2 linked regions of the Arabidopsis thaliana genome follow. The protein of the gene in region 1 interacts with the protein of each later gene in a biochemical or structural test. Each region holds a gene or a part of one and is shown in the gene's direction. Other genes may lie near its edges.

Region 1 (3,755 bases):
GTTGACTTTGTGTTAAATAATGATGGGATTATATTAAGAAAAACTTGTTAAATGAATATCAGAATCAATAATCGTATCAATTAGACAACTTGATTAAGATTTGATTCTGGTCAGTAAAATATATGAAACATGCTCCATATGCTATCATATCTTCAATAAAATAAACGAATTGAAGACGAGTATATCGCTATCATGGCAGGTTCCAATTAGTTATCTCCATCCTCTTTTTTGTTTCCACAAAGGAGCCACTTTGTGTTCTTTATTTTTGAAAATGTTTGATTGGTTAATTAACCAAGTGAAGTTGTAATACTATTATGCAAGAATTAATTGCAGCACTCTATGGGTTTCGTAATTTGGTTAATAGTTTAATGGGCCTCGTACAAGTCAGCCCATTGGATATATTTCAGATTAATCGGGTCGGGTCACAAATGATTATCCTTGTTGCCTTGCCTTTGCCAATCGTTTGTTTCCAAAATAAAAATCATGGCGAGACTTTTCGTCTCTATCCCTATGCAACCCACACAAATAAGCTTCCCTGCGTCTTCTTCTCAGCCACTATTATCTCCGCCGGCGAACAATTTCACCGATGGTGGAGCTGGGGGATTATGTCTTACACGGAGAATCAGAGACAGTTCCGTGGTGACGCGAGCAGGGCCTAGTACGAGCAGCTACTTGCTCGCGTTCGCCATTCCTGCTACTCTTATCGCCGCCACTGTCTTCACTTCAATCAAAATCGCTGACAAACTCGACGAAGATTTCCTTGAGGATGTAAGATCCTTCAATCTTCGTCATATCTAATTCAGATTCGATTTTTGTCTAGCTCTCTAGTGTTTTACCTTGCTTTAGGTCTAGTTTGTCTCAGTCTTAGTTTAGGTAATCGTGGTTAAGCAAATTTTATTTGGGGGAAACAATTAAGCAAATGACTAACTTTTGAATTTTGGGTTGAATTGGTTCAAGTTGTTGAATTAACGGCATCGTTAGAAAGTAAGAGATAATCACATCCTCTAAGAGCGCATTGCAATCTAATAGAATTGAATCTATCTCTTTCTGGAAGGAGCTCATTCTTATATCCTTGAGGTGGAATGGATAGAAACAGTGTTATTGTATCATCTATAAGGTCTGTAAAACTAACTGCTTTGTACTATTATTTTTCTGCTTCTGTAGATTGCGTTGAACCAAGCGATAAAAGCAGCAGAAAAGGGAGAGAATGGAGAAGGTGATATCTCACTGGACGATGTGATTCAAGAACCTGTGCTTCAACGAACACGTAACCGGCCTAAACGTGAAGTTTAAAAACGCACACACAGCTTCTTCATGATGGGAATAGACGTTGTAACTGTAATACATGTTGTGTTTTGTATAAGAAAATTTAAGCGTGTAGCCTTTCCTAGTCCCGTTTATAGTTGTAGTTACTGGTTTTACATTACCGTTTGATCATTTTGTAAAGAAAAAACGGATGATGAATCAAAAACCTCATTACAGTTACCATTTTAAGTTGAGAGCAGATTATTTTATTGTGGCCGAGCTTTCTTCTGCTGTAAATTTGTAATTTTGGAAGAAATAGAAGGACATCTTTTGTATGCTTCCATTGACCAAATACTGTTTCGTGTAATCGTCTAATCCGTTTTAGATTGGGCTTTTAAGGCCCAGTATGAGTTGTCTCTTTACTTTTGAAGTAGTAGTGTTTAGGAATTCTTCTCTTCGCTTCAAATCGACGTCTGTGTGAGGTTAAATCGCGTCGCGTTTTCATCTAGCAGTTTTTTTTGGTTCAAACGAACGAGACACACCAGCTAAAGGCCATTTGCGTTAGATCTAAGGAGAGAGCGACGTATACGTGGTTTCAAGCAAATTCTCCACGGGAAGGAGATTAACGAGCAAAGTCGATTTCAGTCTCCTTTGTGGAGTTTTCTCTTCAACGCATCGAGGGTATGGTTTAGCTCAGTTTCGTGATTTCTAGCGTGTTATTCATCGAGTTCCTGTGTGTAATTTGATGATCTCCAATTGTGGTTATTGGAAACGAGTTTGGATTTAGCTTCTGATGGGTTTGTTTTTCAATTGAATCTGGAGATTGATTTTCGTTTAGCTGCTGCACAATTTGGGTCTGTTTTTTTACAAAATTTAAAGCCACACAAGCTTTTTATTTGTCTTGTTCATAATTCTAAGCCACTATATTTGTGTCGGTATCATATAAGTTTTGTGAAATTTAGCTCAGTTTTCTTTGTTGTGATTGGATTCTGCGTCAATCAGGTGGCACGAACCATGGTTATCTAAACTTGGTGGTGATCCACGAAGAGTCATTGTGGGAACAAGAACACAGTGAATCGAATGGACAAGAAAAAGAACCGTGCTGATCCGCTTGCTGCTGGGCGCCAGAAGGTTAGCTTCGTTGTCCTTAAACCTACCTCTTTGGAATTTGGGTAAAGTTGCTTAGTTATCACAAATGTCAGTGAGAAGAGAGAGAGAGAGAGAGAGAGAGAGAGTTTTACCCAACTTGTCTCTACTTGATTACTTGTCCTGCCTAGATTTATATATATATAGATAGAGAAACATTGGATGAAAATGTTTTAATCGCTTAGTTTCGTATCCTCATTTCAGCTTCAACAATTTCGTCAAAAGAAGGCTGACAAAGGCACTGATCAGAAAAAGGACTCCAAAGGCAGTACAAGCCAAGGCAAATCCTCCAAAAAATCTAATAAATCTGAGAAGCATGAGCGTAAACCTGACACTAGTGCTGTCAGTGACGAGGCACAAGCTCCATCCCCTGTGACTGTAGGAGGAGCTACATCTCATGTGAATGTTGCTGAGGAGGTTGTCGATTCTCCACAAACTTCTTCAGATACAAAAGCTCACGAATATGTTTCAGTCCATGGTTCCTCATCAGAGCCTGATGCGCTTCAGCCAGGACACACCACTTCTAATGATGGATCTGAAGCGAGAAAAGAAGTAGTTAATTCTGAAAATGATATCAGTAAATCTTTATCCACTGAAGAAGAGAATGTGAAGTCTATCAACAGTGGAGTGGCTGGCACAGTGGATTCTTTGATATCTGACCCTGCAGATTCTGAGAAGGGAGTTACACATGACGATGCATCTAATGTTGATGGAATCTTTGCTGCTTCTGGAAACATAGCGGAGGGGGAAGGTGTTGAAGTTGAAGGTGGTTCTGGGAATGTGGAAAAGCCGCATCAGCCATCCTCTCTCCAAGAATATATTCCTGATGTTTCCTTGATTCGTGCAAGGGGAGATCAGGTAACTGATGTAGGTTGTTCTCTCCTTCTCTTCATGCTTCTCTCTTCAATCATTTTCTTTATTACCTTTTCTCTGATAAGGGTAAAGAGGTTATGTCTATTGCATGCGACCTTTTGATGTATAATTAAGTTCTCATTTGTTTCTGGGTAGGGGAAATGCAGGAAGAAGACATGGAGCAGTTTTCTGAATTATCTGCAAAGGCAGGCGTGGATAAGATTGCAACTGAAGAAAGGCAAACAAGCTATCCAGCTGTTGTGGATTCATCTGCTTCTCCTTCACACTTTTCAGAGGGATCCTCAGTTGCCTTTGATACAGTTGAACTAGAAGGTATAAATGGTAATTTTAGAAGCCAACAGATTAGAGAAGCTGCAGAGCTTAACGAAGAGAAACCAGAAACATCTATTGATTTTCCTAATAACAGAGATCACGTGCTTTCAGCTGAACCTGAGGAAAGCTCTGTTGCAGAAATGGCCAGTCAGCTGCAATTGCCTGAGAGCGTCAGTATA
Region 2 (3,755 bases), on another chromosome or scaffold:
AGGATCAGAAACTTTTGGCTTATATTGAAGAACATGGCCATGGAAGCTGGCGTTCTTTGCCTGAGAAAGCCGGTAACTTGCTCGCTCTTTTCTCTTCAACAAAACCACACATTTTCTTCTAGCTCTATTCAAAGCTTTGCTTCAAACTCCTTATAGGTCTCCAAAGGTGTGGAAAGAGTTGCAGACTCAGATGGACTAACTACCTAAGACCTGACATCAAGAGAGGCAAATTCACTGTACAAGAAGAACAAACCATCATTCAACTCCACGCTCTCCTCGGAAACAGGTGACTCAATCACAATCTCTGCTTTCAAACCAAATAACCAAGTGATTGCTTTGAAAGCAAATTGATCGTCGTCCTTTAAATGTCATAGGTGGTCAGCGATTGCAACTCATTTACCAAAGAGGACAGACAACGAGATCAAGAACTACTGGAACACACACTTGAAGAAACGTCTGATCAAAATGGGGATAGATCCAGTGACTCACAAGCACAAAAACGAGACTCTTTCGTCTTCCACAGGACAATCAAAGAACGCAGCCACGCTTAGTCATATGGCTCAATGGGAGAGTGCAAGACTCGAAGCTGAAGCAAGGCTAGCTAGAGAATCAAAGCTTCTCCATTTACAGCATTACCAAAACAATAACAACCTTAACAAATCAGCAGCTCCTCAACAACATTGCTTCACTCAAAAAACATCAACAAACTGGACTAAACCAAACCAAGGTAAGGGACACATCGTCTTAAAAAAAACTCTCAACTTTGATTGGTTTTGGTAACGTATCAATGGAAAATTGTGACAGGAAACGGAGACCAACAGCTTGAATCTCCGACATCGACGGTGACATTCTCTGAGAATCTTCTGATGCCTTTAGGAATCCCTACGGATAGCAGCAGAAATAGAAACAATAACAACAATGAGTCCTCGGCGATGATTGAATTGGCCGTATCTTCGTCAACCTCCTCCGATGTGAGTCTGGTCAAAGAACATGAACACGACTGGATTAGGCAGATCAACTGTGGTAGTGGAGGAATAGGAGAAGGATTCACGAGTCTATTGATCGGTGATTCGGTCGGCCGGGGTTTACCCACCGGGAAAAACGAAGCGACGGCGGGCGTGGGGAATGAGAGTGAGTATAACTACTATGAGGATAACAAGAATTACTGGAATAGCATTCTCAACTTGGTTGATTCTTCACCGTCCGATTCCGCGACGATGTTCTGATCTAAGGGTCTTCAACCAAACATTTTTAATTCTCAGATTGTTTTTTAAATGTCGATAGCTTTCCAATACTTTTTACTTATCTTTATTTTCTTTATAAACTATTATATATATATATATATATATATATATGGGATGAAAATGAGCTTAATTTTAGTATTCGTTTTTGCAGAATTGCATGTAGCAAACCTGCAAATCCAATTTACAATTTATATATTATGCTTTTATGTTGTTGGTATACAGTTTGTTAGAAAAATATTTTAAGTGATAACGTCGTTGTCATTTGGCCAAATACATAAACCATAATAAGGGATCCTCCTTCAAATCCTAATACGTTTTTGTTTTGGGAATGAGCTTTCTTGAAAAGCCTATCGGCACAAAGATCCTTTTTAGTATCATTGCTTTGTTCGAATTTAAATTACTAATTTTGGGAATAATTAGGCGCTTTAACTATTGAGTTATAGAAGTTGAGCTTTCCTTAATCTTATATTGATAAGATGTTTCAAAATATAGGATTGGAACCACTCCATAATTCTTTAAAGTTGCTGAGTGCAAGCAATTGAAGGAAATAGATATTCATATTACTTATCCACCGGTTGTGGAGTATTTTTGTCTAATTTTCAAATTTTTCTATATGAGAGATGTCTGAACGAAGAGGCTGTAATTATAACAACAACACGTTGACATGTCGAGTAAAAGAAAGAAAATTCAATGCTTGGTTGTTTCATGTCCTTTTCTTTATCATAAATTTATTTATATACAGTATGATCCATAGTAATAAAACACAGATATTACTAATAGATTCGAGTCCACTAAACTTAAGACATTTTTAACAAAAGGTTACATTACATCCATCGAATTTGATAGTAAATCCTTAATCGTTTACTTAATGTGCATGCAAATTTGGGCGTAATAGTAAGAAGGATATGGGCCTGACGTTTGGTACTATTGAATAAAGGCCCATATAAAGCCCAATAATTTGCTTTTCTGAGAAGACGGAGACAAAGGAGTCGCTCTGGTCTTTCATTATCGCGAATCTGAGATTTCGGAAGATTCGATCGATTTGGGGGTTTTAGGGTTTAATCTCAACTGCTAATCAATGGCGCCACCTCCAGGACTTTACTCCGGTACCAGCACTCTTGCTCTGGTAAACCCCGGATCAATTTCTCGATCTGTAGCCTTGACTTGTCGAATTTTGGATTTTGAAGAGTTCATCGAGTCTTTTCTTTTTGGTATCGATTTAGGTTGCTCGTGCTTCGGCTTTCGGGTTGGGTCTCATCTACGGCAACATCAAGCTCAAGGCTTTAAAGGTACATCTCTCTATCTTCCTTGTCTTGTTTTTATCAGATGAGAAATTATTTTCATTGGGTTTCATTTTGACATCCTAAATCTGACACTTGCCATTATAGCAGCAAATTCGAATGTTTATGGCTTTTGAATTATGATATTCTCGATCGAATCATGTGTGCCGTGACTATTAGTATGCTACTTTGCTCCTTTTGGTTTGGTCATCTATACACAAGTAACATGATTCTTTGACCCCAATGTTTCTGCCTGAGTTCTGATCTCCTATTCCACTGAATGATCATAGTTTTGACTTGATGTTTAGTAGAAGAGTTTGTCAATGATTTGCAACTTGATCACTGAAATGTAATTTCTTGCCTTTGTAAAGCATAAGTTTGCGATGTTGTGTCTGGTTTCCAAACCCTAAGAAAATCGGTATGAAAGTAGAGCCTATGTTGCTTCCTTTAGAGCATCCCAATCCTTATTCATTCAGATTGTGGAATCTAATTTTCTACTATGATGTGATTTGCTAATAAGTTATGATGATACCAACAAATGCTTCTTCTTCATATGCAGATAAAGAAGAATTCGCAGATTAAGGCCGAAGCAAAGGCTCATCACTAAACCAACTCTTCTTCTCCTTCTCAATAAGATTATGAAGCCAAGTGATTGTTATCTCTAAATGTAGTTCTTTTCCTCCTTAAGCTATATCTCCCTCGGTGACATTTTTTCCATCTTTCTGTTTTTTTAATCAAAATCTTCTGTCTGACAAAGCAATCGTATACCCGTTTTGGTTTAAACCTGAGTTCTTCTTTGGTACTTTCCTGCTATTCAATAAACACCATATTTTTATCATCTTAACCAGATAAATAATTTATAAAAAAAAAAAAAAAAAAAAAAGAATTTTTTTTGTTTTCAATTAAAATAAATAAATATCCGCCGTGGCGCAGAGTTAAAAGTAAGCAGTTGGCTATTCAGGACGACCAATGTGGTCACTGCTTGGTGGCAAGAACAAGTTGTGTTCGAGCTATACAAGGTCGTGGCTTCGAACATTGGTCACACTCACACATTCGCTGTCTCTCTTTCTCACGTAATAGAGGCATTCTTAAATGCCTTTTTCTGTTCTCTTTCATTCTCTACAATTTATTAAGTTATTTGAACTTATTGTAGAAACCTAAATGTTTGCACCCAAAATTAAAGGTTACAAGATGAGTATCTTCTTTGAGATTTTGAGAAGAGTTTCTCTAT

What was found.
Region 2: the proteins of AT4G31570 (region 1) and AT3G01130 form a complex in vitro, tested with the Arabidopsis thaliana proteins (one study listed by BioGRID).

Annotation. Positions count from the first base shown.
Region 1 is NC_003075.7:15,294,736-15,298,490, forward strand, and holds the start of AT4G31570 (nucleoporin), read left to right. Parts: upstream 1-1,715; 5' UTR 1,716-1,926; intron 1,927-2,218; exon of another isoform or gene 2,219-2,247; 5' UTR 2,248-2,325; coding exon 2,326-2,376; intron 2,377-2,595; coding exon 2,596-3,262; intron 3,263-3,399; coding exon 3,400-3,755. Other genes in the region: HCF153 (high chlorophyll fluorescence 153), read left to right, coding at 484-768, 1,165-1,293.
Region 2 is NC_003074.8:44,090-47,844, reverse strand, and holds the start of AT3G01130 (ATP synthase E chain), read left to right. Parts: upstream 1-2,035; 5' UTR 2,036-2,322; coding exon 2,323-2,370; intron 2,371-2,467; coding exon 2,468-2,611; 3' UTR 2,612-2,632; coding exon of another isoform or gene 2,633-2,668; 3' UTR 2,669-2,895; coding exon of another isoform or gene 2,896-2,934; 3' UTR 2,935-2,942; exon of another isoform or gene 2,943-3,083; coding exon of another isoform or gene 3,084-3,131; 3' UTR 3,132-3,755. Other genes in the region: MYB106 (myb domain protein 106), read left to right, coding at 1-72, 157-286, 375-727, 805-1,226.